4 linked regions of the Caenorhabditis elegans genome follow. The protein of the gene in region 4 interacts with the protein of the main gene of each other region in a pairwise test. Each region holds a gene or a part of one and is shown on either strand. Other genes may lie near its edges.

What was found.
Region 1: the proteins of sma-1 (region 4) and cyk-1 interact in a two-hybrid assay, tested with the Caenorhabditis elegans proteins (one large-scale study listed by BioGRID).
Region 2: the proteins of sma-1 (region 4) and rme-4 interact in a two-hybrid assay, tested with the Caenorhabditis elegans proteins (one large-scale study listed by BioGRID).
Region 3: the proteins of sma-1 (region 4) and sap-49 interact in a two-hybrid assay, tested with the Caenorhabditis elegans proteins (one large-scale study listed by BioGRID).

What each region holds. Positions count from the first base shown.
Region 1 is NC_003281.10:7,021,815-7,031,870, reverse strand, and holds cyk-1 (WAPL domain-containing protein), read left to right. Parts: upstream 1-2,665; 5' UTR 2,666-2,674; coding exon 2,675-3,154; intron 3,155-3,290; coding exon 3,291-3,384; intron 3,385-3,768; coding exon 3,769-3,830; intron 3,831-3,877; coding exon 3,878-4,114; intron 4,115-4,167; coding exon 4,168-4,344; intron 4,345-4,391; coding exon 4,392-4,591; intron 4,592-4,640; coding exon 4,641-4,923; intron 4,924-4,972; coding exon 4,973-5,333; intron 5,334-5,380; coding exon 5,381-5,517; intron 5,518-5,567; coding exon 5,568-6,219; intron 6,220-6,265; coding exon 6,266-6,800; intron 6,801-6,847; coding exon 6,848-7,353; intron 7,354-7,398; coding exon 7,399-7,820; intron 7,821-7,865; coding exon 7,866-8,033; 3' UTR 8,034-8,229; downstream 8,230-10,056. Other genes in the region: rfl-1 (NEDD8-activating enzyme E1 catalytic subunit), read right to left, coding at 8,305-8,500, 8,544-8,720, 8,764-8,965, 9,053-9,314, 9,363-9,471, 9,541-9,621, 9,671-9,753, 9,799-9,981.
Region 2 is NC_003284.9:10,371,335-10,380,531, reverse strand, and holds rme-4 (UDENN domain-containing protein), read left to right. Parts: upstream 1-2,762; 5' UTR 2,763-2,921; coding exon 2,922-2,941; intron 2,942-2,989; coding exon 2,990-3,148; intron 3,149-3,211; coding exon 3,212-3,328; intron 3,329-3,768; coding exon 3,769-3,937; intron 3,938-3,980; coding exon 3,981-4,210; intron 4,211-4,631; coding exon 4,632-4,734; intron 4,735-4,779; coding exon 4,780-5,115; intron 5,116-5,166; coding exon 5,167-5,262; intron 5,263-5,516; coding exon 5,517-5,570; intron 5,571-5,617; coding exon 5,618-5,746; intron 5,747-5,788; coding exon 5,789-5,961; intron 5,962-6,524; coding exon 6,525-6,930; 3' UTR 6,931-7,300; downstream 7,301-9,197. Other genes in the region: dyf-6 (Intraflagellar transport protein 46 homolog), read left to right, coding at 1-170, 220-336, 383-598; Y49A10A.2 (uncharacterized protein), read left to right, coding at 8,180-8,326, 8,375-8,476, 8,525-8,836, 9,122-9,197.
Region 3 is NC_003280.10:8,031,427-8,037,505, reverse strand, and holds sap-49 (Splicing factor 3B subunit 4), read left to right. Parts: upstream 1-1,738; coding exon 1,739-1,993; intron 1,994-2,042; coding exon 2,043-2,812; intron 2,813-2,885; coding exon 2,886-3,027; 3' UTR 3,028-3,256; downstream 3,257-6,079. Other genes in the region: arp-6 (Actin-like protein C08B11.6), read left to right, coding at 160-236, 284-721, 764-919, 965-1,126, 1,172-1,595; nrf-6 (Nose resistant to fluoxetine protein 6), read left to right, coding at 4,804-4,849, 5,116-5,397, 5,439-5,688, 5,732-5,842, 6,053-6,079. UniProt on the Caenorhabditis elegans protein: Subunit of the splicing factor SF3B required for 'A' complex assembly formed by the stable binding of U2 snRNP to the branchpoint sequence (BPS) in pre-mRNA.
Region 4 is NC_003283.11:11,896,886-11,903,874, forward strand, and holds the start of sma-1 (Spectrin beta chain), read left to right. Parts: upstream 1-2,563; 5' UTR 2,564-2,678; coding exon 2,679-2,745; intron 2,746-3,022; exon of another isoform or gene 3,023-3,194; intron 3,195-4,222; coding exon 4,223-4,485; intron 4,486-5,110; coding exon 5,111-5,290; intron 5,291-5,899; coding exon 5,900-6,184; intron 6,185-6,229; coding exon 6,230-6,613; intron 6,614-6,659; coding exon 6,660-6,989.

The sequences.
Region 1 (10,056 bases), on a different chromosome or scaffold from region 4:
TTTTTGATTGCCCAATAGAAAGAATGTTCATTTTCATTTTTGACCATTTCCGCTGTTCTCTTACTTACTTACTTACTTACTTGAAGTTGTCTGTGAACTACCAAAAAAAAAAGTGAACCTCAAATTCAGCCTCATGATTACCGATTTGATGTAAACATGTTTTTGAACTAGCGACATTCCAATCTTATCAATGTTATCAGCCAGCTGTAGTAAAGTAGTTCAGAATATTTCTCACTTGAAAAGCTTTTTAAATTTCTGTATCTTCATCAATTTGTGATATAAAGTGTACTATTTTAGTTTTAGAATTTTTAGTATTTTTAGAATTAGTTAGATGTTGATAAATATTTTCCGTTCTTATTAGTCATACTCTTCCCCATTTTTTCTTCCTTTCTCCTCAGGCAGTTGGTTGATTGGGTCATCTGGCATCTTACTCATTTCGTTTTTTTTTCAATAAGCTCCAGTAGAGAGAGAGAGCCTTTGACTTTTTCCATTGCTGTTTGATAGATTTTGTTCTTATTAAAATGCCTAACGATGTACCATAAGTTCTTCGGAACCAACGGTTATTTTAAACCTAGGAAATTGTTGAGACGTTATCCTAGATATCCTAGAGAGAGATATCTAGGTGATCCTAGATAATTTTAAAAAAAAATGTATCCAGAAACCTTAAAAAAAACAAATCTGGCCAGTTGACGCCCGTTAACACTAGCGATTTGGAACGAGAGGACAGATGTTTTGTGTTGAAGAGAGAGAAGTTTCCATCGGTCAGTCAATTGGAAGAATTTCGTTTTGTCTGGCGCAATTCGTTTCGTTTTAAAGTTTGGTTGTATACCATTTGGACTTAACTGAAAGGGTGTCACTTCTATCTGTTTAAATTATTCTTATTCTAGGTGTATCCCACAATTGCCTAATTTTAAATTAGCGTTTCTAAACTCATATGTCACATCTCGCAACTTAAACAGTTTTTCTTTTAGGTGTTTACCAAATATCTAGGTGTTCTCTCTCTGTTAAATGTCTATGTGACTATGCTATTTGCTCTTTAGCTTATCAGTTACCAATGATCATAGAAATCTTTCCTCTTGAAGTTAAATGTTACTTTCTGAAAGTTTATCTAACAAAATTTTCAGTTTTCAAACAATTGTCTTATTTTCAGTGTTAAAAAACCCACCCAATTGCCTTGATATCTTTGTCTCGTATCTCTCTCTCTCTCTCTTCTCAACGGCTTTACTATCCGGTTTTCTGTCCGCCTCATTGGCTCAGTGGCAGAGCGTCTGTCTAGTAAACAGAAGGTCGCTGGTTCGATTCCAGCATGAGGCACCGAATTTTTTTGAAGAAATCTTAGTCTTTAACATCGGATTACTGTAGAATTATCACATATTTTTTGAGAACGTATCCAGAAAACATTTTTAGACATTTTAAGGTGTTCTATCATTCGTGAAATTAAGCGATCATTGCACATGTAGTAATTTTCTTTAAAATTTATATTTGCACTTCAGTATTTTGAACGATCGGCAGTGACTTCATGCATGTGTGAATAGAAAATACACATTGTAGAGCATCCGGCCGGCGAACACGCTATCATTCATATTTCTGTCAACAGTGATATGTCTATGATAATCATATGCTCAAAAAGCACCACCAGCCTGTCCACTTGACATGAGTCTCCATTTTGACCGTCTCTCCTTCTCTACTTTCTCCATGAGTCCTCTTATCTCCTTCACATGTGCCCAATGACCCATTTGGCGGGAAAAATCAGACAAAAAAGAGAAGAGAGCAAGGGATTTGCATACTGTAAAACAGTGTCAAATTTCCTTCAAGAATGAACGAGCTTTATGTTAGCCGCCAAAAAACAAGTAGTTGGATTCCTTTTAAATATATTTTATTTATGAGGACGAAAATCCCAATCAACTCAACGATGTGTAATAAATATCTTAAAATGTAGGATTGCAGTTTATGAATTTCCGCGAAAACGTGAGAGTTTAAATTAAATAGGCTGTTCTCAGATACTAGATTTTAAGCAAATTATATGCTGGCTGAAAACATATTATTTCAAAACTTAATGAAGAATGAGCTAATCTCCATTCCCGAGTTCATTTTCTTGTTTTCCGGAGCACTTCTCAAATTCTCTTCCTCTCCCTTTTTCGCTTTCTCCAAATACCGAAGTGACTGTGTTTATTTTATATTTATTTTGTTCTTTTATCACTAGGTTCTCACACATTTCCTCCATTTCTCACTTTTTCATCCAACGACCCGCATGCCCTGTCGATTTGCCTGCCATTCAATTTGAATAGATTTCATTTTTGTATTTTTCTCCCCAAGAATCAGATGACATTCCACTTCTCTTTTTCCCCTTCTTCTCACTTTTCTAGAGTTCGCTGATTGCCTTCAATTTTTAGTTGGTTTTCTGTATATGGAAAATAACAAAGTCTCTATTTTTCGTAAGAAAATTATTTTCCAATCGGTTATTCATTTCTTCACTATTTTTCTCCCTGGTTTTTGATTTCTCTGCACTTGTCAATACAATTTCAATTCAATTCACGGTTTTACCTTCATTTACGATTAGATTTTATTACCTGTATTGAGGTTATTTTGACCGTTTCGGTAATCCGCTCCACTTTATTAATTCAATTCGTTCCGTTCAAAATCTCGTTCAGTTTGAAACATTTCCAGCTTAAAAATGTCTAGCGATGATTATGAGTCAATTGACACGCCACGTGTAGCTTCACTAGCTGATATGAATCGACTTCCTACCCAATCTCGTCATTCAAGTTATTCAACGGATGACGATGAAGACGTGACTCCTACACCATCAGCTTCTAATTCTGCTCCAAAAAATACAATTCTAGACCCTCTACAAGCGCAGTTTCTTCACCCGAATTCTGAAAATTCTGATATAGACGAGCCTCGTGTGCAATTGCGCGAAAAGAAAAAAGCGACTCGTGCACAAGATGCAACTGTTTCTCATTTCTTGGAAGATCAAGTTCCTAATCAGAAATTCAAAAGGAGAAGCGCTGAAAGACATTCAATGTTGGCTGGAGCTGCTGATTTTGCTAGTCGTAGGAGTCCATTTCATTTAAGTGGAGCGAATGGTTCTGGAAGATGGACTGATTTGTTCTCATCGAGCAGATTTAAACGAAAACAACGACAGAAATTAAATGTTCGTATCTGGGAATTCTTCTACCTAAAAATACAGAAATAACATCTTATTATTAGAGAAAAGTAATAATAATAATTAGAGTTTGCAAAATCCTCAAATTAATATTTTCCCCACAAGTATATTTTCTTATTTTCAGAATGTTCCATCATCGTCATATTCAAACAATGACTACGGTACATATGCAGGCACACAAAGTATTGGAGGTTTCTCGATTGCTTCAAATTCTTCAGGTAATATTTTTTTTCTTAATCTTGAAAATAAAAATTATGTCGCTAGTTAAAGGTAGAGTACGGTCAATATTGAAATTAAAACCCGTTCCTATGGTGCTAAGATGTCAAAATGTCATAGAACTTCTCAAAAATATTTTGAAATTTTTTTATTATTTCACAATGTGATTTGTGAAAAAACGGTGAAAACTGATTGTGAGTTTTTGCCACTTTTCTTTCACTTATTTTTGACTGTAGATTTAAAACATGTTATTATGATATTTAATAATTTTAGCGTCATAGGAAGCGTTTTTCAAATTGTTTTCCCATTGACCGTATTTCACTTTTAAACGAGCATTAAACTGAATTATTTCGAAGATCTCCATTTTCAATATAAAATAGTTCCAGGAGAATCATTTGCCTTGTCAGGAACTGAAGACGAAATACGAGAAGAATTCAGGAAAATTATGGTAATATTCTTTATAGAGTTCTTATTATATTTCTACTAATTTTGCAGCTCGACAAAGGTCTGCCCGAAGCTGATAAAATTATTTCTAATACGCCACTTGATCAAATGAAAATGATGATTGAGAATTCGAGAAAACAAGATAATCAGGCGAAGGGAAGGTCTCCGGAATGGGTTGTACGAGTATTGGGAGAAATATTGAAAACGAAAAACATTCCGGAATGCAAGCAGGATATTGTTACTGTACGGGTTCAGCTAGTTGGTCAAGGTGTTTCATTTCTTAATAAGGTTCGTTTTTTAAGATAGATATTGTTACTATTAAAATACATATTTATTTTCAGTTCGCCGTAGAAGTTCATGACGAGTCTGGTCGCACTGGAGCTGATCTTATCTGCTGTCTCTACTCATTAGTCTTGAAACGACTGAGAAGCAGTGAAGTTGGCTCGAAATATGAGCTTGATTTGATTGATTTCTTGCAAGAAATCGTCAGATGTGTCCGAACGCTAATTAATACACATGTAAGTTTGTATGTTTTCAGTCTAATTCTAATTCTACACTATTTCAGGTTGGCCTTGTTCTTGTATTGCGACGGAACTCTCCTGTATACTCACTTCTCATTCAAACATTATGCGTCCTGAACAGGCGAGAGCAAAACGATCATGAAGCAGCTGAGATTCGAGCTATTCGGGTTGATGTGGTTAGAACATGTTATACGTTGATTTTTGTTCAACATGATACGCTGTCAACTCCGATTGAAATGACTGGGTAAAAATTTTGAACAGTTCAAATCTTATTTAATTGAAATGCATTTCAGTCAACAAAAGATGTTCATGGAGTTGTCCTTAATAGCTAAAGCTGAATCCAAACGGCTCAATGAACCAGTTTCTCGATTTCGGCCCCTCATCAGCTGCATCGATTTTCTAGAATCCCGCGATCCAAAACAAGGAATGTACGTACTTCTGATGATAAATATGATGATCAATGGTGTCGATCGTAACATAAGTGATGATCAAATGTGGACAGAAGAGACGATGTGGCAAGCACGAATGAGATTAAGGAGTGAAGCTGCAAAAGATAAACTTCACAAGTACATTGAGGTAAATTTGATTGTTTCAGAAAAATAATCTTATCCCAGATATTTTCCAGAAATTCACTACATCTGAAACTGTAAACTCGCAAATTCGGGATGTTGCTCAGAACATGCTCACTGAGCACAATGCAGATTTGGAAACACTGATGGGGAAGCTTGAAAATGTAAAAGGAGAATATGATACCTTGGATGGATGTTTTGAACTTCTTGCCGCCAACTCTGAAGCCACCGGAACCGAGACAGTGCTCCTTTCAATTTTACAGCTTATGACTCTTACTAATGAGGATATGTCGACGAAAAGATCGTATATGAAACTCATCGAGACAGCCATATCAGATATTCTTCTGCATCGAACTCCAATCGATCCACAAGCGGATTATAAGTTTGTGTTTGAGGTTCCTGTGGCCGAGATCATTGGTTTGTGATCGAGAGTATATTGAAAAATTAAATAATTTTAATTACAGATAAAATGCAAGACGAAGAGATGGCCAAAAAAGTTCGACAAGCCACGTCGGCCAAACAGGAAGCTGTTGCAATGCAAGGAGAATACTGGAAAACATTATGTGATTTCCAGAAAGAAGCTGAAGAACTGAGAAAACATGTATATTTACTTTTTTAGAAGCGGTTTGATTGAAACATGTTATTTTTCAGATAAATGATCCAAAAATACCTCTTCCTCCGCCAACGAAGATGAACTTGTCGGCTCCATCCACATCTGCTGGTGGATCTTCAGCTCTACCGCCAATAACTGGAGGTCCACCACCACCTCCAGGTCTCCCACCAATCACAGGAGGGCCGCCTCCACCTCCTCCTCCTGGTGGTCTTCCTCCAATCACCGGAGGACCCCCGCCGCCGCCTCCACCGGGAGGATTGCCTCCAATATCTGGAGGTCCTCCACCACCTCCGCCGCCTCCTGGAGGATGTCCACCTCCACCTCCTCCACCACCACCGGGAGGGTTCAAGGGCGGACCGCCACCACCACCTCCTCCAGGCATGTTCGCACCGATGGCTCCCGTGATACCTGATTACCTTCCACCCAAGAAGGTTCCAAAGGTTGATGGTCCCATGAGAAAGTTCCCATGGGGAGCACATACTATCAACCCTCGGGATATTCCAAGAGAGTCGTTCTGGGTTGGAACAAACGAAGAACAGCTGACCAGCGATCGAATGTTCGATCGTTTACGAACCAAATTCGCCACGAAACCTGCTGCAAATAGTGGTACTCTTGGTGGTGTCTTGAATAGCAAAAAGAAAGTGAAGACAGCACAAGTCATTCATGACGATAAATTACTTCAAAAATTGGGTAAACTCGAAGAAGTATATCCTTTTTTATGATCTTTTTCTTGCAGGCATTCTTCAAGGATCAATCAAAATGTCGCATTCAGAGCTCAAGCTGGCGATTTTGGAAGTCAACGAAAAGGTTTTAACTGTCGGATTCTTGGAGCAACTTCGATCAGCAATGCCAGTGGAGAAGGAGCTTATTGACAAGCTGAGAGCGGTGAACAAGGCTCAATTTGAGGAAATGCCCGAGGGTGAACAATTTGTCACTCGTCTGCTCCAAATTCAAGGTCTTCCGCTTCGTCTCGACTTGGTTCTATTCAAAATGCGATTCTCTGAAGTGTTGAATGAACTGAAACCAGCCATGTCGTCAGTGATGGAAGCGTGCGAAGAAGTACGAGCATCTGAAGGATTCCGAACATTTTTGAAACTTGTTTTGGCGACTGGAAACTTTATGGGCGGAGCGACAAAAAACTATTCGAGTGCTTACGCGTTCGACATGAGAATGCTGACAAGACTGGTTGATACAAAAGATGTCGATAATCGGCATACTCTTCTACATCATTTAATTGAAGAAATGAAGAGAATCGATCCAAGACGAGCACGGTGAGTAGATTCCTTTACTTGCTTTCTCAAAATTTAAAAAATTTAAGATTTGCTCTCACCGACTTCCATCATTGCATTGAATCGTCCCGAGTGAATGCGGATGAAATTCGAAAAACTGTTCAACTGACAGAGAATAACATTAAAAAACTGGAGAACTGCTTAAAAGTGTACAAAATTCAAGGAGAACGTGATTTATTCGACGAGAAGATGCGGCCGTTCCACGAAAAAGCTGTCAAAGAGTTCTCCACAGTTTCGTCAATGTGTGGAAAGATGAAAAACGATTGGGAGTCGTTGGTCAAGTATTATGCATTTAACGACAAAAAATATCCGATGGAAGAATTTTTCGCCGATATTCGCACCTTCTCTGAGCAATATTCGAATGCTTGGAAAGAGTTGGATGCCGAAGCAGAAGCAAAACGAAAAGAAGCAGAATTTGAGACACAGAAGCGGAAGCAGCTGCAACAATCTCAACAAGAAAGGAAGCCGTTACAAGAGAGACAGGCGATTAATAGAGTGCCAAGAACTCCGGCTGCGATGATTCGAGTTTCGACTGGTGAGTTGATATTTTTGAAATTGTTTTTTAATATAATTTTTTCAGCTGCCGATAAGGCTGGTGTGCTCGATGAGTTGGAGCGTGCTACAGGAAATGCTGATTTCCTTCAAACCTTGATGTCTGCCACAAATTCTCGAACTCCTCGTTCCGGATTGCCAGCTCGAACTCGCGGAGGTGGAAGACTTGGAGGAGGACTTGATCGGCAAAGATCACGACATCAGAATGCTTTGGGTCAGCTTCAAGATCTCACTGGCTGCGCATCGGAACCGGTTCTTTCCGGACAGTTTGCTCGATCACGCAACGTTCCTCAAAATGATCTGCAACGACAAAATATGGAACTTCCATCATCAGTAAAACCAACAACGGCGCTTGATAGGGCTAAAGCATTTGGAGTTGGATTGCCGATTGGTCAGAATGAGCTCAAAGTTCGAGTGAGAAGGAAAGGGCAACCAGCTGTTCCAGTTACGGTAACATATTTTATATGTGGAAACTTTTCGAAATTTAACTTTCAGAATATCAATGGAACATCGCAAATCTCACCAACGCACAAAGAAAACGATCCGACGGGTTCCTCGTCAACTTCATCTGGTCCTGCATCATCAAACACGGCTACATCATCATCATCAGGCACAGTGGTGCCATCAACAGACGATCTTCTCGCACGTCTTAATGATTTCTGAAAGCTCACATCGGTTGTCTTATCTATAGATCTAGTCATTCTCCGTCTCTATTTTTTCTGTATTATTGCCACATTTTTCATACTTTAATTGTCATTCACAGGGTCCCTCTTCTCGTTCCATTTCAATTGCTCGTTGTATTTTCATCAGTTCACTTTTCCTTTCTATTTTCTTTAGGTAAATATTTTGAGTTTAAAAACGATTTTATTTTTATTGACATGGAACACAGGCATACTTTACCCGAGACATTCAAAAGTGAAATAGAAGAAATGCATTAGATGAGCTGAATTCGTAGTGTAAGTGCACGAGACAATGCTTCGTCGGATACCAGTATTTCTTCGCCATCGCTAACAAGATCTTTCATCGAAGTATGCAGATTTTCTTTGCTTTCTTGTTCAAATTGTGGCATGAAACTGCTAATACAGTAAAGTTTTCGAGTTGAGGTCGCTAGTGTCGGATGTTTGAGATGGCTGAAATTTGAAATTTGTTTTCTAAAACAAACGGAGAACGTACAAACGCTCCGAGAGTCTGATGATAAGCGATTCAAGAGTTGAAGATGGTGAAACTTCGAATGGAAGACGCCCACCACTACAAGTGAGACAATTGTCATCTTTCATCATTGAAACAACACTGGTATATGCTCCGTGAATTTGAGTGAAATTAAGATAATTATCGATTGGTTTGGCAATGCTGAAATTGAATATTGAGAGTTTTAATATGTGATCTTACATACTTTGTGGCCAATTTCAGAGCTTCTAGGGCACATGATGCAGCGATAACTGCATTTGTTGATGCAACAGCCGGAATAATTCTTTTTAGAACTCCAGATGTCAAACGACGATCCACACCTCGAATATTGTATTTTTCTGCACGAAGACTTGCTCTTTCGAGAACCCATTCAACGTGGATCGGATCGTCAGCGTCAAGAGAAACACCTGGAAATATAACTTTTTTCCAGAAAAAACTTTAAAAATAACACTAAAATTAAAGTTCGTTTCACCGATTTTTCTGTAAATTTTTACCTTCAAATGGTTTTTCCTCTGGCCAAACAACTACTTTAATGTATTCAATACAATGTTCTGGAAGTCGAGGAGTGTGAGCAATTGTGCACAATGGAAAATTGACTTGAGGTGGATAAAGATCAAGAGTACAATCAATACAGGCTGTGAATTTCGGATATATGACACGAGCATTTCCTTTAAATCCTTCAGTTCCTCCGTCAATCATTGGAATAATTGTGTTCTCATCAGGTTTTCCGTCGGCCATTTCCAAAACCAAATCACACTGCAATTCGATAAATTAATTTATATTTTGAGCTAGAAAGAATTTTACCAGCATTCCGTTGATCCATCTTCTGGCTGGAATCGAATCAAGTCCACAGATAATTATAGAGAATTTTCGATAAAATTCTTGACCCTTGTCTTCAATTCTACAGTTGTGCCTGAAAATTGAAATAAAATTAAAATAATTCTGAATTTGTTTGGAAAGACTATCAAACCACAACACTTACGCAGTCACCTGACATCCAACAACTCTTTGTTGAACGAAAGCAGCAGCTACCTCAGCTTTTGATTTTCCAACGTCAGATTCCCTGAAAGTTTTTTTTTGACAGAACGAATTTAATAATAATTTTTTAATACCTAAATAAGAATTGACGATTTAGGTTTGATACATCAATTGTGTCCATATCGATAACTTCAATTGTTCGGAATCCGCTCAAAGCCTGAAAATGCATTATTTTTAATGTTTTTTTTGAATTCTAACTAACCAAGTTCTTTAACAACTCACAACCCAATCCACCAGCACCAATAACAAGAATCTTCGTGTTTTGCAGTGCTTCAAAGTTTTCCGGTCCGGGAACAAACCATGGAACTTTATATGCAGAGTCGCGATCTGTTAATCTTCTGATGCTCCTCCAACGCTCCGTTGCCAATGGATCCACGCTGACCATCTTTGCTTAAAAGTGTTGAATATTTAATTTTCCTTGTGGTGTAAACAAAATAGATTATACATTGTAAAGCATGTT
Region 2 (9,197 bases), on a different chromosome or scaffold from region 4:
CGCAGATTGACGAGCCACCCAGCAACCAGAGCGACGCCACAATTGTCGATATGCAGATTCGAAATGCTACTAAAGATGCGGCAATTCTCGATGACGATGTTCCAGTGAAGCTTTTAGAAAGAGCTGATGAGAATCCAGATGAAATAAAGAAATGGATTTCTGATATTAAAGTTTGTTTTAAAAGTGTCAAGACATCTTTTAAAAAATGTTAATTTCTAGGAATTTCATAAAAGCAAGCCTGCCCAAACAGTTCACTACAGAACTCAACTGCCAGATGTAGAAACATTGATGCAAGAATGGCCACAAAAACTTGAAGAAGTTTTGAAAACGACAAAGGTTTGTCTCAATGCTTTGTTGTAACGTAAAACGTTGAATCCGACAGATACCATCGGCCGAACTGGATGTTTCATTGGAAAAGTATGTGGAAATTTGTCTTAATATCGTCGACATTCCTGTGGGGAAAAGTCGCATTGAAGCTCTCCATTTGATGTTTTCGCTGCTCAATGAATTTAATAACTCACAGCATTTTCGCAATCTCGCACAAAACAACAATCTCGGAGGAGAAACCGGAGAAACAATGGACAGATTGGAACTTTAACATCAAAATTTATTGACATTTCCATAACTTTTTGATAAGCAGACGTTTCTGACATTCTCTTAATCACACATTTTATAACTTTTCCCTCTGCAGACACACTTTCTGAACAACCTATTTGTGTCATATAAATAATTTCTTAAATTATTGGCAAAATGCTTTCTCCTTTTGAACTTCATTAATTGATTCACCTTCTATTTTACTTTAATTTATTTGACCGAATAAACATTTTTATTTCTTTTTTAACAATCAAAAAGTTTTATTTTTCATTGCACATTAATTGGAGAGAATTATCCTTGGTGAGTTTTTACTGTTATCTTTACACCAATTTTTGTCTTACTCATATGAAGAAACATTTTCAAATTAATTTTGTTTTTAACAAGGAAATATCACCACAATTTTTGTGTTTATTCATTGCACGAAAATCTAATTATTCGGTTTGTAGTGAAATTGTAGTTTGGGACTTATACATTTTAACCAGTATTCTCTTATTTTTGAATTTTTGGAAACTTGAAATTGTATTTTGTATTTCGTACCCCACACTAAAAAAAACTATTCAACTTTCCACTACTACTCCTGAATTTCTGGTTTCCAGGGACAGCTCTCACGGTCCCATTTCCAAGACAAAGCATCATGTTGCTTAGCAATTGTGAGTAACAAACAGAACGTGGAACACAAGCCGGTGGTAAGTCTTCTCAGCAGGTACTATAGATGTCATTTGAAGAAGGAAAGGGTGAGCAAGGCGTTCTATTGTCGTAACAAGACCATTCAGACTCTCGTAGCATTTATCGATTCGTCACTGTGTTTATTCATTTCGTCTATCTTTCCTCCTCTTTTCATTGCACAGTGTCCCCACCTGACGGCGGGAAATACGCACTACATAAACTCGTCCCGATTTGAAGTGAACTTTTTTAATTCGCATTTTTGTAGTTTTCTAGGTTATTTTTCTTTTAATTTGAAAAGTAAATTTTACAATAAATTTGACTTGATAAGTCGTTTTTTGCATAGACATTCAAAATCATATGTCCATGTTTCTTAAACTTCTTCACTTTTTTCTCGTACAAATCGCTTAGATGGGCTATTTCTCTCTTATTATATGAGCACAACGTTCTCTCGCTTGCAATGTCAGAAATAGATTGCAGTCTTATCCCTCTACAAACTGTGCATGCACATTCTCTGCGTCTTTTCATTCCTATCAGTGACTAGACTCTTTTTCTTCCAGAAAAAAAACATTAGATGACAACAAACTGTTCAGTTTTTGCAGATAGAGTTCGGCTTTTGGAAGTTAAGTTTTCTGGCATTTATGAAAAAAAGATTGCTCATTAGGACCGTCAAATTTATGTAACGTTAACATAGAAAATATCAACAATGAGAAAAGCAAGCAAAACATGTTTGAAAGCCTTATTGTTTTAAAATAGATAGGTAGCGGAATTTATTTAAGAAAATACTTTTATTGAGTCAAAAGTATTTGTTTCTTTAACCAATAAATTTTATGTTCCCATTTTTTTTGAACTTCAATGTTTCCAAGTTTAGCAGTTTGATATAATATTCAAAACTAACGAAAATTTGATCAAAAATTTGAACAAAACGAACAAAAAAACAAAAAAACAAAAATCTACAAATCCGCTTTTTAACTTGAAACCCCTAAAAATATGTAATTTAAAATACACAAAGTAGCCTACAGTTAAACTCTGTATGTTATCAAATTCTGAAAAACACAACGAAATTCAGTATTCTGTTTTCTCCTTTTCAACAGCCCATTTCTCATTCCATTTGACAGCTCTATTTTCCTCATCCGTCACAGGACTGCGCGATACTAAAAAAAAAGACACATGTTTCTTTTTTTCTTGGTATTGTTACCCAGTAGTCTGAATAGTAACATTTCTTGATTCTTATGTGATGCTTTTGGTGGCAGCACCCATTTTTCTTCTTTACTCCATCCTCTATTTCTAAATTTATGTCACTAATTTTATCCCATTCATTCTCACGCCTTGTTCGCTCTTCATTTTTTCCATGTTTCTTTTCCTTCTCTTCTATTGCTGTAGTCTCTCCTCGCCCTCCTCTTTTTGTCGTTCAGTCGCGTGTCAGCTGAATTCACAAAGAGAAACGCGCCAGCAGTCTTCTTTTAACGCAGTTTTCGTTTTCCGTTCTTTTTATTGTAATATTGCAAGTGTTTCCTGCTGTCGCCGCCCAGCAGTTTTCAGTCCGTTTGTTCCCAGTTGGGTGGCTGAAGCTAACCTTCAATTCAATTTAACAATTGTCTTCGATCTCTAGATCTCTTCTCTGCCGTTGGTTCCATCTCCCAATTGGCTTTAATTTTTCACATATGACCTATGGAAGATACAGGTGAGATTGTTGTGAAATGTTCAATCCATTTTTAGAATATATTTTCAGAGCTGACGTGGCCACCCTGTACGACGTCTTCTGCGAACTTGATGCCCCGAAACCTGGCGAAAAGCTTGCTATTTTAAGACTCCAGTATCCCGACGATTTCCACGATCCAGCTATTGTGAAAAGTGTTCAACAGTTTGCATTTCCATGTCAACTACGAGAGTACGTAATTGTTAAAAAAAAACTAAATTGGTATGGAATTAAAATGTTTTTATAATATTTCAGAGTAGAAGTCGACGCAGTGCAATTATTCAGTTTTGTTCTAACCGATTCGAACTCCAAATTCTCGTTTGGATTTTGCCGTTATACACCAAGAACCGACACGTGCATCTGCTTCTTGAGGTGAGAGTGATTTTCCATCATTACTTTTGACAAATAGCCGTCGTTTGGTTTTGTCATGGGAAAATGAGTCCTGAAGAGCAGAGGAGAAGTATCATATTTCGTTTTCTTTTCTATTCCTTTTAAATAAACTCTTGCAAAAACGTTAACGAAAAAAAGAACAAAACAGAGTTCGTTTTTTCTTGTGACTTTTAACTGTTGTTGTTGTTGTGTGATGCGAAAAAATGAAAAGAATGTTAAACGCGTAGGATAGGATGACGAATATGATTGCAATATTTTAAAAAAGAAAACGATTTGTGATGGTGAACATTATTATCACAAGAACTTAAAAAAAAATACAAAACCGTTTGCTTGGAACTAAAATATGCTTTAAAAAAAGGCGGTAGAAAAGAGTAGAGAAGTAGTCAGAAAAATGTCTCTTTAAAAATATGAATATTTTACAGTGGATTCTTCTGGCCAAATGTCTTCTTCAAAGCTCTTAACGATATTTCTTTGGTGATAGGTTCAGCGCAAAGGGAAGATGTTGAATCAGTGCTCACCAAATTCTATCACACAGATATTCCAAATATTGACGAATATTTACGATTTGCTGATAGTAATCAAACAGATGGAGTAAGAACCTTAGTTTATATCTAAATGTGCAATATTTTCTCAGCACAACTATCGAGTAGTGTTTGCTGAAAAAATTCCCGATCACACGCGATTACCAACTCTTGGCTCGGATAAGTTTTTCCTCGAGTTCTACAACGCCATCGACCCTCGGCAGATGTTAGCAATCTTTGCAAGTCTACTGAAAGAACGTCGTATTCTGTTTACTGGGCGGAAAGTTGGATCGTTGAGTTCATGTCTCCATGCGGTCTCGATGCTTCTCTACCCAATGTGTTGGTGAGTAATATAAAATTTCTAACAAAAATGTTTACATAAATATTGGTAGCAAGAGGCATTGCAATCGCAGTTCTGTGATAGCAGTTCTGAGATAACTAAGAAACTAAAACAAAGTACGTAATACCACGTAATAAGAAATCGTGGTTAAGAAATAAAAATCAAAAGCAATGTAAAAGGGTATACAGTATAAGATAACTTGTTATATTATTTAGTGATGCATATACATAGAATTCAAGTTTCTCTTAAACAATCTTGAAAGTACTTGGTGAAAAATTTGAATTCAACATTAACATCACGAAACATTTGGTCTTGCGACTGTATTTAATCATAGTTTTAGGAACAAAAATTCTGAACTCAATGATGAGGACGCTTATTGAAAAGCTATTAAATTTTCTAAAATGTACTTCAATGTATATTTCAGGCAATCAGTTTTTATCACAATTCTTCCCGAGTCTCTCGTCGACATGGTAATGGCACCAATGCCATACTTGATAGGCGTTCCAAAAACTGTTTTGGAAAATGCGGTTTGTGAATTCGAATAGATGTCCCAATATTGTATTTTATTTAAGAGGCTGAATATAAGAGACATCGGCGAAGTGGTGATTGTTGATATTGACGAGAAGACGTTAACAAGCCCATTCGATGATGTAGCAGCAATGCCTCAAGAAGTTGTAAACTTTTTGAAAGCACAACTTCGGTCGCAGTCAGCAATGGATGACACTTTTGCAAAGCACTTCTTACGAGCTATGGTTATGCTGTTTGGTGACTACACAAGTGGATTTACTGGTGATACGCCTGAAACTCTGGTTTTTTCCAAAGAGCGGTTTGTGGTGCAACAAAAACCATCCTACCAAGCATACGTATCATCACTATTAGGTGCGGATGGTGTGCAGTACCTAGAAAGAGTGAGTTTCCGCACAAGCATATTGATAAGTCGCAATAATTAAATATTTTAGTTCATCCACGACCGATTAGAATTGTACAAAGACGGACACGTGCCAGGAGACCAGTTCGAAATTGAAATCGAACAGATGGATCTGAAAAACCGGCCGGTAAGTGATGAAGCAAATGTTATCATAGCTTGTATAACGCAATGACGTTAACTCGTCGAGTGTGCGGACATATTCCAACATTCAGCTAAATCATCATGAGCCAATGGTGCATACTACGGTGCAATCAGTAAGATTCGTGTTGTCAAACAGTATCTCAGCAACTTGATTTTCAGTTTAACCAAGTGCATGACTTTTGAAAAATTTTCTAACTTGTTCGGCATCTAATTTTTAATGCAATTGAAAAGATTTTCCAGGTCAAGGAGAATGCCAATGACGTCATCGGAGCATTGAAAACTTCTGGAATACAAGTATTTTTCAACCCATTTTAAGTTATTTGAAACATTCAAATTTCTAGATTGCAAATCGTCTCCAGAAACTAACGCCTCGGGAAATACGAAAAGCAGCGGCAAGAAAAAAAGCACACAATCAAAATGGATTTGAGCAGTCGCCAATGTCTTTTGATAACCTACAATGGGATGCAACGGTTTGTTAGAAAATAACAGAATGTATTAATATTTTTGAATAGTTCCAGAAAAGTGACGAAAACGAGGGCTTCCCGGTGGAAACAAGGATGGACAATGTTCCAGTAGCCAACCTCATTGATTTGGATGAACCTTCTACAAGTTCTGCGTCTGGGCTTACATCAGTGGATGAACAGTACTTTCTTCGTCCCTCCGAACTTGCAACTAACAACCGCAAGTGAGTATTTGATCAAATAATCAACCCAGAAAAAGTATAACGCTGTGGCTCTTTGTAGAACTTTTTCGCTCTATTTTTCTGGCAACCAACAATTATCTGTTCGTTGTGCGCCTGCCTGAGTTTAATCCACTTTTAATCTATAAGCTTCTGGCTGTTTCTGTCTAGGTAGAAGTATTTTGGAAACGCTCGGAAATCTCATAATTGCTTATATGTAGAATAAAAAGTAATGTCGCCTTATAAACAAAAATCATACTTTGTTCAAATATAACGAGGATCAAAAAAATTGCAGTGTGTCCAATGAGAAGTCTAATGCATTTGATAACTTCTGATGATTTGGTTTTCTAACACCGTTTCAAAAATAGTTTCATAACTAAAAAGAATTAAAAAAAATTTCATTTCAAGCTGGTGCTTGAAATGCTGGTGCTTGTACATGCTGGTACATTTTGTATAGTAATCTTGATCAAGATATAAAACATGTATGTATTGCCAAAACCTGGTAATTTGAAAACCAAATCTGTTACTATGTTATTCGCAAATCAGTTAATTATTTTACAAATGTTCAGGTCGCCATCTGGAGCAATAGGAAACGTATTTGCCGACCCATTTGCGACGTCACCAGAAGGCTCGGCGCCTCCATTGCCCTCTCGACCCCCACCACCTCTACATCCTCGCATGATTCCTGGCTCATCGGTCCAGTCAATCTCTCCAAGTGGATCATCAGCACCTCACCTACTCCATTTTCAACAAAGCCATCAGTGGGCACAAGTCAGCCAAGTAGGAAGCGTACCATCAGCGATGAACCCATCTGCACCCGATTGGTATGCTCCTCCGCCGCTACCTCCCCGACGACCTGCATCAGTTGGCCCATCGAGCACATCGTCAGGGCAACCAGCAACTGCTTTTGCCACTAGTTCAGCAATACGAGTCCCCCCTCCTCCGGTTCGGAGCAAATGGGAAACTTTCGAGTAGAATACAATCATGTGATAACAAAATGAAAAACAAATTATTTATGTGTATGAAATTTGAGTTTCTATGGCTAGAGTCGTATGGTTACTTTCATAAATTTAACCCATTTCTTTCCCCCTTCCCACTAGTCAAATTATTTTGTTTTTCCATATTCTCATATTTTTTAATCGTTTGTTCCTTGTACTCCTGCGAGACTGAAGTCACAACGATAATTCAGTCATTTTATTCATTTTGTTTAAGTATATATTTTTCAAAAATCCAAAGGAACTTGTCAAATCAAATTGTCATCGAATGCCGGCATTCTAACTTTTTCTTGTCAAAAGTATATATTTATTTATTTTTCTGGTTTGGAATAAACAATAATGTTGGGTGACTTTTCATTCAGTTTATGTTATTATTTCAATTTATTTCAATTTACTCACTTATTTTAGCATCTATCGAAAGTACTTAAAAACTACAATATACTGGACAGCTTCCATTTAATTTTTTTTGTTTTAATTTTTGAATGGAGTAGCGTCAATACGGTAAATATTTGAAATAGATCTTTTGTGACAAAAATAATTCAGTTGAAAGGATAAAATCGTTTTTTTTAGATTTCAAAAAAGTTATCCCAACTGGCGCTATAAAACTTTTGAGACTTTGGAAAATATCCCATAATTTTAAATGGAAAAAATATTATGCTTTGACAATTTTCACAGTATTTACAATATATTGGAAAAGTGAACCAAACGTATCTACGACTACCCTGCATCATAACACTATTTCTCCTGCATATTAACAGATGGCCGTCCTCGTCTCCTCCGCTCTTCCCCTTCCTGGGGCCCCTGCCGTCTGCTGCCTTTTGCGACCGTCTAGCTTCTCTCACTCAATGATTTCTATATTATTTCTCTTTTTCCTACGATCTCTAAATCTCTTTTTCTAATCTCACCGCACGCACAAGCAGAAACGGACCGAACATGCCGTCCGCACAGGCACTTGCCAACGTGAAAGAACACGGCTGAGAAGGTGCGGTTTTTTCCATTGAATATTCAATTTTTCCTGCTATTTGTCAAGACTTTTCTTGATACACAGCACCCAAATAGTTTAGAAATAGGAGTAGTTTGATTTTTTCTCTTAGTTTGACCATCAGAATGCATTTTCTTGTTTTTGGCTTTGGACAGTAGACAATATCAACTTGTTTCACTGCATTTTAATTGATATTTTATTATGGCCCAACATTTTTTTTAAAGATTGAAACATTAATCAATTTCAGATGAGTTTCCAACCTGGTGATATTGTGATCAAAGGTTCGTGGCCATGCAAGTTGGTGAATATGGAGAGAGGAAGGAATCCCGTCTCATGGAGAGTAGAATATTTTACCTGGAAAGCGAAAGGCCGAACGAGTATTGTTCCACAGGGTGTGAGTAATAAATCCAAATAATATCAAAGGTTCTAAACTTTATTTCAGGCGATTTTCGCTTTGCATCGAGACTATCGATTCAAAAAGTCTACGGAGCAACACACCAAAGCTATTAAAGAGGCTAAGGAAACATTAGGAGGCAAACTATGGGTTTGTGTGCATTCTAATAGAATTTAGAAAATGTTCATATGTTTCCAGGGATCTCAATGTGGCAGAGCACCATCGTACAAAAAGCTCGAGTTTAACGGAGTCGAAAACACCCCTGATCAAATACAAAAAATTGTCTCTCGCGACTTAAAATTGGAATTGGACGATAGTGAAGATATTCGAAAAAGTGGAACAAATGGAAATCATCACAGAGGTGAACCGAAAGAGGAACTAGAAAAGGAAGAGCAAGAAAAAGAAGAGAGAATGAAGGAAGATGAAGAAAAGAATGGAGATGGAGAATATGAAGATGACGAGGATCAAAAGATGGCTGATGAGAAGAACCGAAACTATAAGGCTCCCATGGTTAGTGTTTAGTTTAGTTTTATGTCTAATAAAATCATTGAAATTTGGAAACTTCGCCCTGGCTTCATGACTCAATTAGTCATTTTATTATATTTATCAGAACGGGTACTGTCCAACCAAATTTAATCGAAAATGTAAAATGCTTTCAAACGAAACATTTTATAAAAAGTACTATTCTTAAAGATATAATTTATTCACTTGATTATGAGTTTCAAGTTACAAGTTGCATCAATGTAAAATATTCGTTAGGACAATTTCTATCTCTGTTTCCATCTTTTTTTTCAGAATCGCAAAAGATTTCTCACCGAGGATAAAGACGACGCTCTGTTCAGCCCACCACCTCCTAAACAGAAGACTACGC
Region 3 (6,079 bases), on a different chromosome or scaffold from region 4:
TCAATTCAATTCCAATAACCGGGTTGTTTCTTGTGTGCCTGATACTTTCATGAATATTGTGATAATTCGAAATTATTTGTTATCTTATAGGTTACCACCCTACTCTTAATTTTTTATCTGGAAAAATCACACTACTCATTCTGTGAAATAATTTTGTAGATGAGTTTAACAACAATTATTTTTGACAATGGTGGCCATAATATGAAGATAGGTACGATAGACTCAGAGTCCCCTAGGTTTGTTTCTAATAAGAAAAATATCAATATAATTTAAATATTTTCAGATTAGTTCCAAACAGTATTGTGAAAGCGAAACATGAAAAGAAGCGGGTTTTTGTTGCACACGAGCAAGAAGAATGTTCGGACAAGTTTTCGCTATTCTATGTGCGACCAATTGAAAGAGGATATGTGGTGAATTGGGATACACAACAGCAAATCTGGGAGAAAACGTTCGGATCTATGGATGTGGAGGCGTCTACTTCTCGAATTGCACTCACAGATAATAACTATCTAATCCCAGCTCTTCCTGATGTCTCTAGTGAAATATTGTTTGATTATTTCGGCTTCACAGAGGTACACAAAACGTCTGCTTCGACTTTGGTGGCAAAACATTCAAATAAAATCAACAACGAAAAGTGTGCAGTTGTTGTGGATTCCGGGTTTTCATGGACTACGGTAGCTTCATTTGTGAATGGAATGCTTATTCAGGATAGTGTTATAAGGTTGGAAAGTGTTTTCAAACTACAATTAGCTTTATTTTTAAGGATCGATGTTGGTGGAAAAGCGTTAACAAATAAATTGAAGGACTGGGTATCTTACCGACAATTGAATGTTAGCGAAGAAACATACGTTATCAACGAATGTAAAGAGGATCTTTGCTTCGTCTCACAAAATTTTGATGAGAGCATGAAAGAGGCTAGGTAGGTATAAAAATGAAGAATACTAATTATATTGTTTTTATTCAGGAATCGATTTCAAGAAAATACAACAATGAAACGATATATTATGCCGGATTTCCACTCGACATTCCGAGGTGTAGTGAAAGACGTTAAAGAGCCACACGATCCACAAATTCCTTCAATTCATTTGGGAGTTGAGAGATTCGCCATTCCGGAAATCTTATTCAAGTTAGTAATTTCGGCAAAAAGTATAAACTATTTTATCTGTTGCAGTCCCTCGGATATTGATATTGATCAATGTGGTGTCGCAGAAGCTGTTATCGAGAGTATTTGTCAATGTCCAGAAGCATTACGGCCTGCTCTGGCAGAAAATATCATCGTGATTGGCGGATCGTCGTGCTTCCCAGGATTTCGTGAACGCCTGGAACGAGAAGTTCGATCAATGCTGCCAGCAGAATATGGATTGAATGTTTCAAATGACGTAATAAACCCACAAACTCATTCCTGGCATTGTGGTCAAGAGCTTCTCACTGCTTCTAAAGTTCCATGGATCAACCGAAAAGATTGGGACGAACGAGGAGACTCGTTGGAGTTCTCTAACTTTTTCCAGACTCTTGTGCAATCCGATGAACTGAAGGGAACTCGTAATTTCGATGATCAGAGGGAGAAATCCCCAAAGGAAGATGAAGATTTCTGAACTGATCTCTTATCACTTTAAAATAAACATGTTTTATATATATATATGCCAAAATATTTTTTTTTGAGATCAGAGGTTTATTTTCCTTTGTTGGACTTATTTTTTTTCATGTGCTGTTCATTTTTTAAAAATCAATATTTCAGATGTCAGCAGGGCCGATAGTGGAAAGAAACCAAGATGCAACAATTTACGTTGGTGGATTAGACGAGAAGGTGTCAGAGTCCATCCTATGGGAACTTATGGTACAAGCAGGACCTGTTGTCAGTGTCAATATGCCGAAAGATCGAGTAACTGCCAATCATCAAGGTTTCGGATTTGTGGAGTTCATGGGAGAAGAAGATGCAGATTATGCAATCAAAATTTTAAACATGATCAAATTATACGGAAAGCCAATTAAAGTAAGCTATCAAATATGTTTAGTTTATTATTTAAAAAAATAATATTCAGGTGAACAAAGCATCGGCTCATGAAAAGAATATGGATGTTGGTGCAAATATTTTTGTTGGAAATCTGGATCCAGAAGTCGATGAGAAATTGCTATACGATACGTTCAGTGCTTTTGGAGTTATTCTTCAAGTTCCAAAAATCATGAGAGATGTTGATTCGGGAACGTCTAAAGGATTCGCGTTCATCAACTTCGCTTCATTCGAAGCTTCAGATACAGCATTAGAAGCTATGAACGGCCAATTTCTTTGCAATCGAGCTATCACCGTCTCATACGCTTTCAAGAGAGATTCAAAAGGAGAAAGACACGGAACAGCAGCGGAGCGTATGCTGGCTGCACAAAATCCACTGTTTCCAAAAGACCGGCCACATCAAGTATTTTCTGACGTTCCACTTGGTGTTCCAGCTAACACACCTTTGGCCATGCCAGGAGTTCATGCTGCTATTGCTGCTCATGCAACAGGACGCCCAGGCTATCAACCACCACCATTGATGGGAATGGCTCAATCTGGATATCAAGGACAATATCCACCAGTACCACCACCTCCACCAAGTGTGACACCAATGCCACCTCCAATGCCGCCAACGCCAGGAATGACTCCTCGTCCACCACCACCACCATCATCTGGAATGTGGCCGCCACCACCACCGCCTCCACCAGGAAGAACTCCAGGACCACCAGGTATGCCTGGTATGCCTCCACCACCACCACCATCACGATTTGGTCCTCCAGGAATGGGTGGAATGCCGCCGCCACCTCCACCAGGGATGAGGTATATATTTTTGTTCTAAGTTGAAAATATCGTTCATGTTCACCGTTCGAACTTACACAATTTTTCTTTTCAGATATCCGGGAGGCATGCCGCCACCACCACCGCCGCGATATCCTTCTGCTGGACCAGGAATGTATCCACCTCCACCACCAAGTCGTCCTCCAGCACCACCATCTGGTCATGGAATGATCCCACCTCCACCACCTCCATCATAATTACTCGATCGGATTGGAATACCTTAATCTTTATTTTCAGAAACTTTTGTTTTTCACGAAAAGATCTTCATTTCAGCTGTTCTAAACTTTTACATTTTAAATTATTTCGTTTTATTCTCATTCCATAAACCAATTTCTATTTGATGTCAATTCAACTTCAATCATATTCCACAACCATCATCTCCTCCTCTCTCTTATCAATCTCATCACAATCACACCTTTCTTTTCCAATTACCACTTCGATACGTCAAGTCACGTTCTTCAGCGGTTTTTTGTTGCATTTTAATGTTCTCACACAATCTGTACGCCTTTTTCCACTATTTAAGACATCATTGATGTTCGCTGGAGCGGCAAATCCTATGAACTATAGGCAAGTTCAACGCCTAATAGAGACGTAGAGTGTAAGTGAGGTTTCCGGGAGAATTCGTCTCGCACCTTCCTCTCATTGATTCTATCAACGAACGGAACGAGTTAAACTAAAAAAAAAAGTGTAGAGAAATAGAGAAAGAAGGGGAGAGAAAGAACATGGACAATGACTGTATTCAACCGGAGGACACACCAAAACTAATTAGTCACCCGAAAACATCACCTACAATCATCACATTGCTTCTTCGCACTTTTTCCAGAAATATTATTCCAGTATCATTTTGATTTTCTCCAATTCAGTGTTTTTGTGTTGTAGAATTTTCAGTTTATTATTTTTGGAGTTCCGAGAGTATCTTCAGTTCAAATTTTGCACATTTATCTCCTTATTTAAATGAAATTGCTACTACATTCCTAGAATTTATGAACAAATGGAATAATTTTTATTAGGAATTTCTCGAATTATGATTCATTCTTCCATTTTCCATTCATAACAATCGTTCGTTTTTCTTGCATTTGAAATTTCATTCGTCAGTAAAAATTCTACAAAACAACATTGTTTCAAATAACCTGTTATTTATATAATTTTTAGGATGAGTTTATGAGCTCTAGAGGAAGAAACCAACTTTGCCCGTTTCCAATTATATAATTACAGTACTCAACTTTTCCAATTGTTCGTCATATACATATTTCCACACCAGAACTCATTTATATATATTTTGCAACGCATCAATGTTTAGCTTTCAAAAATTTTATGATCTAGAGAAGTTAAAAAATCACAAAATGTCGTAGTTAAAAATTGAGGACGTTTTATATACTGTTACAAAGTGTTACAAAGTAGCAATAATTCAGTTTTCATGTACTTCTTATAATTTTGGAAGTTCACTAAAAAAAAGTTACACGAGTTTTATGTTCAATCTATATCTTAACTATTCTTATTTGAACACTGTAGGCTCAAAATTTCAATTTTTCTGACAGTCTGGCATTTTGCCAAATCTCTGACTAAATATTTTGGAAAATCCACAATGCCGTGTTTTATTCAGATATATTGTCTTATTGACCTGCTGTGACTATATTTTGACAAAACTCTTGAGTTTCTAATTATACTAATGATTAGTGGTAACCCTACATATGTTATCTGAAAACCCCACTGATTCTGTAAAACGAATGTCCTTTTGATAGGTATTTCTTTTTGTTTCTGATACAATATTATATTATACTAGGGAGAGAGACTTAGACTGCCAAAAAATATTCCTTATCATTATAAACCTTTGTGCCTTGATTGCCTTCGAGCAAAAAAAACCGCCGACACTTAATGATTGACACTTATTCGCCTAATCTGTTCAATTCGTTTCACTTTCTTGCAACTTTTCATTGCCTTCCTGCTGCTTACTTTAAAACTTACAGATCAAAATGGGTAACATGCGGAGGCTGTTGATCTTTGCTGTTCTAGTAATATGTAAGGATAAATAATTACATTTTTAATAAAGAAAAATTACAAAAAGATCAAGGAAATTTGAACTGTTCATTACGATTACAGTAGATTAGAAACTTTCTCGGATGTTTCATGTTTCTTTTGTTGTGTATTTTGGATTTTGAACCATTTTATTTTATCTTAATTTTATGTTTAACTAGTCAGATATTCCATTAATTATATTCAAAAAAAAAACAGAGTGGCATAATTAATTAAATTCATGTTAACGATTAAAATGTTTATATTTACAGTAACCGTCATATCCAATTCAAAATCGAGTTACAAATATGATGGTTCATTGTTCTCAAGTAAAGAATTGGATTATGATGAGACAGACACTAAAGCAATGGGATCCGTTTTTTCAAGATATATGTCAGATTCCGATGCTCAGCTAATTCTTGATCTCGACTTTTTCCGTCATTTTTTCAATTACGCAGAAGCTTATAGAGATGGAGCTGAAGAGGGAAATCTTGAATTAATGAAGTATGCTGTTGAAATGGTTGAAAAATTAAAATCATTTGATATATCAATGGGTTAGTTTATAATGACTATATCTTTAACAAAAAACATTTAGCTTGCGTTGGAGACATGATGCACTTGGCATGGACTGGAGTAGAATATGCAACTCATGTTGAAGAGCATAAAAACTGCTCAGATTGCAAATGTACACCACTTTTCCAACAAAAGAAAAGTGAACGTCACTGGATTTTTAATGTTTTTGATGCAATGGGAAAGGTTCCAGCTGGTATTATGAGTGGAAATAACTTATGGGTGGGCTCATGGAGCACTTGTAGAAAGATTGACGTTGTCAAGAATGCTCAAGGGTTAGTTTGATTAGATGTAAAAAATAATTAAATGCGATTACAGACAAAAGTGGAAAGGTCAATATTGTTTGGCAACAATTGATGCATATGAGAGAGACAATCCACTAGTTTATTTTGGAAATATGATGTCTGGACCACCAGATAAACATTGCTAGTGAGTTAGAGGGACTACAAACTACCTATATAAGCACAATCATTAGCAACAAACTATGAAATAAGAAATAAAACAATAATTTGGAAATTTGGCAACTCTGGCATGAGATTTCAAAGTTGAGCTGAATGATACACTTCAGACGTAAATGGTTGACTTTGTTCGAATAAAAAATCAGTAACTTTGAACGTTTATCAAAATAAACAAATTTAGTGATAAGACGGTCAAAAATGTAACTGA
Region 4 (6,989 bases):
CTTTCAAAATAAAATTGATGACCATAAATAGTAATTTCTGGTTTTTTTTCAATCTTCGACTTCCGATTCTTTGTAAGTTACGGTTTAAATCTGTTCATGTAAGCTTATATCTTTTGTAGATCTATAAATGATTTGTTTTAAATCTATAAGATTTAAAATACACAGTTATATTTTACGTGTTTGACAGCAATATTAGCTTTAAAATGAACCTAATTAGATCTAGAAACCGATACTTGTGCTTTCCATGCAGAATTTGAAGAACGAAGTGTTTCTAGTTTCTTCTCGTAATGAAATTTACATGGGATTTTTCACTACCCCTGTAAAATTGATTCTTATTTTATCACTCAACTTGTTTTTGAAATTTTGTTTCCCACCTCTTGTAAATTTGAAATTCTATGTATCTAACGGGCAATGTCCTTGGGAATGTGTGCACGTGGTATCTTAGACAACATAGGTGTTCTTTTTATAATCTAGACAGTGTTCCTTCTAGAGTAATTCATACTTCACTAGTTGTTCTGTTTATAATATACTGATATACCAAGTGATGGTGACACAGTTTTTAGAGATAATCGACGCTTATTCATCAGTTAAATTTCTGAAATATGTAAATCTGCGCTGCGCAACATAAACCCTTTTCGATGAAACAAACCCTACAGTGTCTACTTTAATTTATGCGATTTTTCTTCCGGTCCTTCATTCCTTCAGTTTCCGACATTTGTAGCACATCTGGCGACGATTCATACCGACCCTGTAGCACTTTTTTGTTCAATGTGTTCGGCACAAGGTTATGCGCACTTCGCCTCTTTCTCCTATTCGCTAATACTAAACGAAACTTATCGCATTTACATTCTCACACTTCCACTTTTCAAAAAAGTAAAGAATACTACTTGTAAGGTGGTAGTGGACGACTGTCGGTGTCGGTTTTGTCGAGATTTCGTCTTTCATTCGACTGATCGGACAACTAGATACACTGAATTAGGTGGTGAAAGAAACTTTTCTTTTGAAAAAGGAGAGACCTACGTTTTTCTTGTCCGTTTCATTTCACTGCCTTCTGCCAAAATATGTGTGTTTTCTCACTGTTTTATCATCCTTTCAAAGTCTTGATTTTTTGGCTCGCAGTTTTTATGGTTGTCGTGGAATTGTTTGGTTCTCTGTTCCTCTTTGCCACAAAAAGTTTGTTGACTGTAGGTTAAAATTCAGTACTCTTTTAAAGATTTTTTTTACTGTAAACTACACGATTGTGAAAGAAACTTAGTCGTATTTTGTCAGCTTCAGATTTCGGCAAATGTTTGAGTCGGGAGTACAGCTCTGTTTATCTACATTTCCATTCTCTTTTCAAAAGTTGTTTCCCAAAACACCTGTCGACCTGTTACCCGTCCATAAATCATGCCAATATCATTGTCAATATGACGGCGTTTATGGTCAAGTATACCTCAACGAAATGCGTCAACTCTGACGCATCCGTGTTGACAGACGAACTCAACTCATCATAAGTACACAAATGGAAACGTATACACGCGTTGAATGAATAGATTGAATTCCTAGAAATGGGTGTGTTTTTTCCTTGAAGAATTGATCCATATGCGTTGTCGAAAAGTTGTTCTAAAATAATTTTCTGAATAACTAGAAGTTTTACAGTAATTAAAGTTTTTCGTTTGTTCAGAGATACTTAGTATTCTTAAGTTGCCTGTGCATATTCCTGTCATGCCTGTTTAAAGTAACTCCAGTGGGATTAACTATCAGAAACTCTCCCTAAAATAATATACGAATATCATAATAAGACTTTTATTTGAAAAAGTTTTTTGTAGGCAAACACCAAAATAACTAAATGTCCTCCACTCATAATTTTTGAAGTAGTCCGAAACATTTTAATATTCTCATATTTGGATTATGTTTTAAGCATTTTATAGGTCCAAAAATGAGGCATTGTTTTAAACATTTCCAAAAACCGACATTTTCGAAAATTGGCAATTTGCCAAAACTTTGAACAAGAACATGTATGATGTCTTTTTCTAGAAGTCAACAAATATTGTCAACAATAAACAAGAAATCATAAAAAACTATAATAATAAGTGGGCTGCTCATGGATAAGAACAAAAAGCGGTGTTCTTCCTGGCTCTTGAAACAGACATGTTTGAACTCAAGTGCCCCACTGTGGCGGTCAGCTATTTTTGTGTTTGTCAATTTCCGCCACCGGAATCCTCGATTTCTCGCCCATTTCGGCCACCACTCAATTGTTGCCGCCGCTGAACATTCCTTCCGTTCTTTTCCCGTCAGGCGAATACACATATTCGATACTTTTTATCCATCGCGCCGATCGATGGATGTCTTCTAATCGTCTCCGACACTTTCTCCGTTACTTCTTTCTCTCTCTCATCATATTCGGATAGTATTGTATAGAGAGACTCGGCAAAGGATAAACGAACGCCGGACGTCGTTGCAATTGAACACAGAAGAGATAAAGATTATATAAGAAGTTACCTTCTGAAGACTGAGGAGGAACCACCACGGCTACTGTCCGAGTGTCGCCGTGTTTCCTTGACCCTTTTTCTCCATATCTGACAAGAATCGAACACGGATTGTCAAGACTGTTCATAACGGAGGAAATACTACCACTTACTATTTTTCGACTTTGCTATATACATAATATATTCTTGCTAATATTGTGAAGCTTTATCATGTCGTATGTGTCGTTCGCGGCAAGCTACTCGCCTGGAGAAGGCAAAACAGTTCGAAATCTCAATGGTATGTGCTCTTTCATTTTAAATTCTTTGTAATAAGTTTTTCAAAAAAATTCTGAAATTATTAATTTGATTTTGGGCACATCAAAGTAGGTGCAAATTAGTTTCTGCAAACAAATTTTCTAAATTTTTATATTTGTGTTAAGTAGTCTTCTAAATTTTGGCGCTTGAATATATAATAGATCGAAGTAAAAAATTGTATGAATATTGCTAATTTTGGTGTTGTTGTGTTATATGCATTCTTGCACATTCTCACAGTCTGCTGCATTCCTTTCTCTCTTTATTTCTTCGTTCTCTCTATATGGAAGTGGCGAGAGGGTAAATATGCAACACTGCATACCATCAGTAGAGCGTCCATAGAGCCGTGAAGGAAAAGGGCACAGTGATAGGTGGTAGTGTTGAAGTGTCAATACAATTTAGTACTTTTTCTCTTTCCACATATTTTTGTCGCTATTCTAAAGTGAATCATTGTCCTCTGTGTCATTTCGATTTGCAATTTACCAAGTATGAGATATTTATGTATCTGTCTTATTGGGATCTCTATGCTGTGACAGATTGCTTCACTAAAATAAACAAAGTTCCAATAGCATTCCCTCCGTTGTCTAATCCATTTTCTGTTCTCACTTTTTGCCCCCTGGGTTCGTCTTTACTAATGAGTTCAGCAACCATCCCGCGGAGCACATTTCAGTGACTCATTCTTCTTTTTCGCAGTGATAAGACGCTGTTATCAGATGTAATAAACACGGGGAACGCCCCCACCTCCACAATATACCTTACTTTTAAAATTTTGAAAATTTTCGTGACGTTTCGAACTTTCTCTGCTTTTTTACTTGAAATTTAATCTGTCAATGTTTTTTGCTGGACATTTATAGCGATTGCTAAACACGTCTCTTTTTTGTTTAATTGCAGAATAGTTCCAACATTTTCTCAGAAAAAATTTCATTCGAAAAGCTTTCCAATTATTCCATTTTCTTTTTTGTAAGCCTTTTCTGATTCCAGTTAAATATTACTAACTTTGTTTGTGTCGCGTCGTCGTACGACATCCGACGTACAAATTCTTAATAAGTCATATTTCACGTGAACATTATTACGTGAACTTTGCCCACACACACAGAAAATAGTCGCACACATAGGAATGCCACGTGTACCACGTGTGCCACTCTTTCACTGTTTATGTTCGGCGAAACATTTCTTTATTTCAAAAATCTTTCACTTTTCTTGAAAGTATTTTGTTGCTGGATACAATTTCCCGTTTTAATTGTAAGTTAGGTTCAAACTTTTTCTCTGAAAAACGATGTGATTCCAAATATTAATAATCTTTGTCTTTTTTGTGCCACGTGGGCGTCTCTGTTGCATATCATTTTGATCATTATTCTCTTCAGAAATGTATATATAACTTGTCTTTCTTTTTTCTCTATCTATTAGTCACTTAACTACTCAAGAAACTTTCAAATTTATCAACTAAAATGTATATTTTTCAGACAAGGTAGAAGGGTATCGCAAGGAGATTGCCCCAAGTCGCGAAAACGTTGACTTCGATCACTTGCGAAGAACACCTAGAGATCCTTTACCGGAGAACGACTATCAGGCGACGAGCAGTACTGGATTATCGAGTGGGGAAGTAAAACCCTACCAGTACCGCGACTATCACCAACATCAGAAGCACGAGTATTACGGCGAAGGAGTGAACGACGGTGTATCTGAAGACAACGTTGAAGACAAAATGAGAAAATACGAAATGCAGGCAAGTTTATATTTATGAACTAGACAGGCTTTTTAAAGTAGCATCAACCTGTAGATCGAAAATGAATGTTTAAACCTATTATGATTGGATTTTAAGATAATCCGATTACGCGTTTGAAACATAAATCCCAATTTTGCCAATAGTCAAGCCAACACATCTAATATTTTTGTCAGATTGTAGTAGTTGTTTATATTTGCTCTAAAAGTCATGCCGAAAAAGTTAATTTATTCAATATCTATGAAATCAACAGCTTCATCTCCAACCCCAAGTGTTAGAACATTACCTGAAGAACAGGTAGTTGCTGTTTTTTTGTTTTATAAATTGTTCATGACTCATGAACATTTGGAGATCATTCATTTTCTTAAAGTAGTCAGCTGACGTGCTCTCATACACTCTATGTTATTTCTGTTTATCATTAAGGTCGGCAAGCGTCTCTCCCGGTTAGGAAGGCTATGCTGTCAAAACGGAAAGACGCTGAGCTAGTAAATATTTGTTTTTCCTTATATGTAACAATTTTGGTTCCGTAATATTATTCTGGAAAGTTTTAAAGATCCGAAAAAAAACTGAGAACGTTTAGAAATATTTAACAGTTCAATTAGCATCAAGTTCATAATGATTTTTTCAGGTTCGTGTTCCAACAAGTGGTGCACCACCAGTTCGCGCAGATGCCAATGGAACAGATCAAGACGAGTTCAATAATGAGACACTGTACTTTGAAAGATCACGCATTCGGACACTGCAGGACGAACGTGTGCACATTCAGAAGAAGACGTTCACAAAATGGTGCAACTCCTTTCTTAATCGGGTAAGTTGTGATAACAACTGATTGGAGTATTTGATTCTATAACGGCGGTCATCGTTAACACGAGAGTGAATAAGAGAGACGGGTAGAATTAGAGGGAATAGGTGAGGGAGAAAGGTTCAATTAGTCGGAAGAATTGTTTACGGAAAGAGAAGAGGATAATGCAACGGGAAAGTAATGCGGACCAAGATGACCTTGCAAATTCCCTTATCTTTATCTGGAGATCAGTTTGCATGCAAGAACGAAAGGAATGTTCGGATGAAAACCAATGAAATCAACTGAATTCATTCGTTGCATATGGGGTAGAACCAGTGCGGAATTTGTCAAAATACACTTGATATAGTCTAAAAGAATATATTAACGTAATTAGAAATTATAAATGTTTTTTTAGAGTTGTAATTTTCAATCTTAGCAAAATGGCAACATTTTGCAAAGTTTGGGGTTGAAAAAATATAATTTGAAGATTGGTATTTGAAATCTTATCATAGTTAATCACAAGGGTAATTATAAATATTTGAAAAAATAAGAATATAAATTTTAACTTCCAAAACTGTGACTTGGTATTAATATAAGTTTAGGAATTAAAACCATATAAGCACAACAATTTTTCAGGCAAGTTTGGAGATTGTTGACCTTTTCGAAGATGTCGGCGATGGTATTATGCTCATGAAACTTCTTGAAATCATTTCCGGAGACAAACTCGGAAAACCGAATCGTGGCCGAATGCGTGTGCAGAAAGTGGAAAATTTGAACAAAGTTCTTGACTTCTTGAAGAAAAAGAAAATCCAATTGGAAAATATTGGAGCCGAAGACATTCTTGACAGAAACGAGCGACTTATTTTGGGTCTCATCTGGACGATTATCCTCCGATTCCAGATTGACACTATTGTCATTGAAGTGAGTTTAGAGAAGCCATTGTTTGTTTTAGTTTAAATTTTTCAGGATGAGGAGGAGCGTGGAGAGCGAAAACATGCCAAAGATGCCTTGCTGTTGTGGTGTCAGAGAAAAACAGCTGGATATCCAAATGTTCGCATCGAAAACTTCACTACAAGTTGGCGCAATGGATTGGCTTTCAATGCACTTATCCATTCGCACCGTCCGGATCTTGTCGATTTCAATCGTCTCAATCCAAACGAGCATGTGGATAATCTGAATCATGCGTTTGATGTGGCTGAAAAGAAGCTTGAGATTGCACGTCTTCTTGATGCTGAAGATGTTGACGTTACCAGGCCTGACGAGAAGTCAATCATTACATATGTTTCCTTGTACTATCATCATTTTGCAAAGCAAAAGACTGAGATGACAGGAGCTCGACGTATTGCTAATGTAAGTGTTTATAAGTTCATGAAAAAAATTAACAAATTGTTTTCAGATTGTCGGAAAACTTATGGTTTCGGAAACCATGGAAGATGATTATGAACATATTGCTTCTGAGCTTCTCAATTGGATTCGTGTTACTATCAAGACATTGGAATCACGTCGTTTCCCAAACTCTCTTAATGGAATGCGCGAGGAACATGCCAAATTCAACCAATTCCGAACAAGTGAGAAACCACCAAAGTACAAGGAGAAGGGAGAACTCGAAGCTCTGTTCTTCACAATCCAGACTAAAAGAAAAGCGATGAGCAGAAAACAATATCAACCACCACAAGGACTGTTCATGCACGATATCGAGTCTGCTTGGGCACAATTGGATTATGCC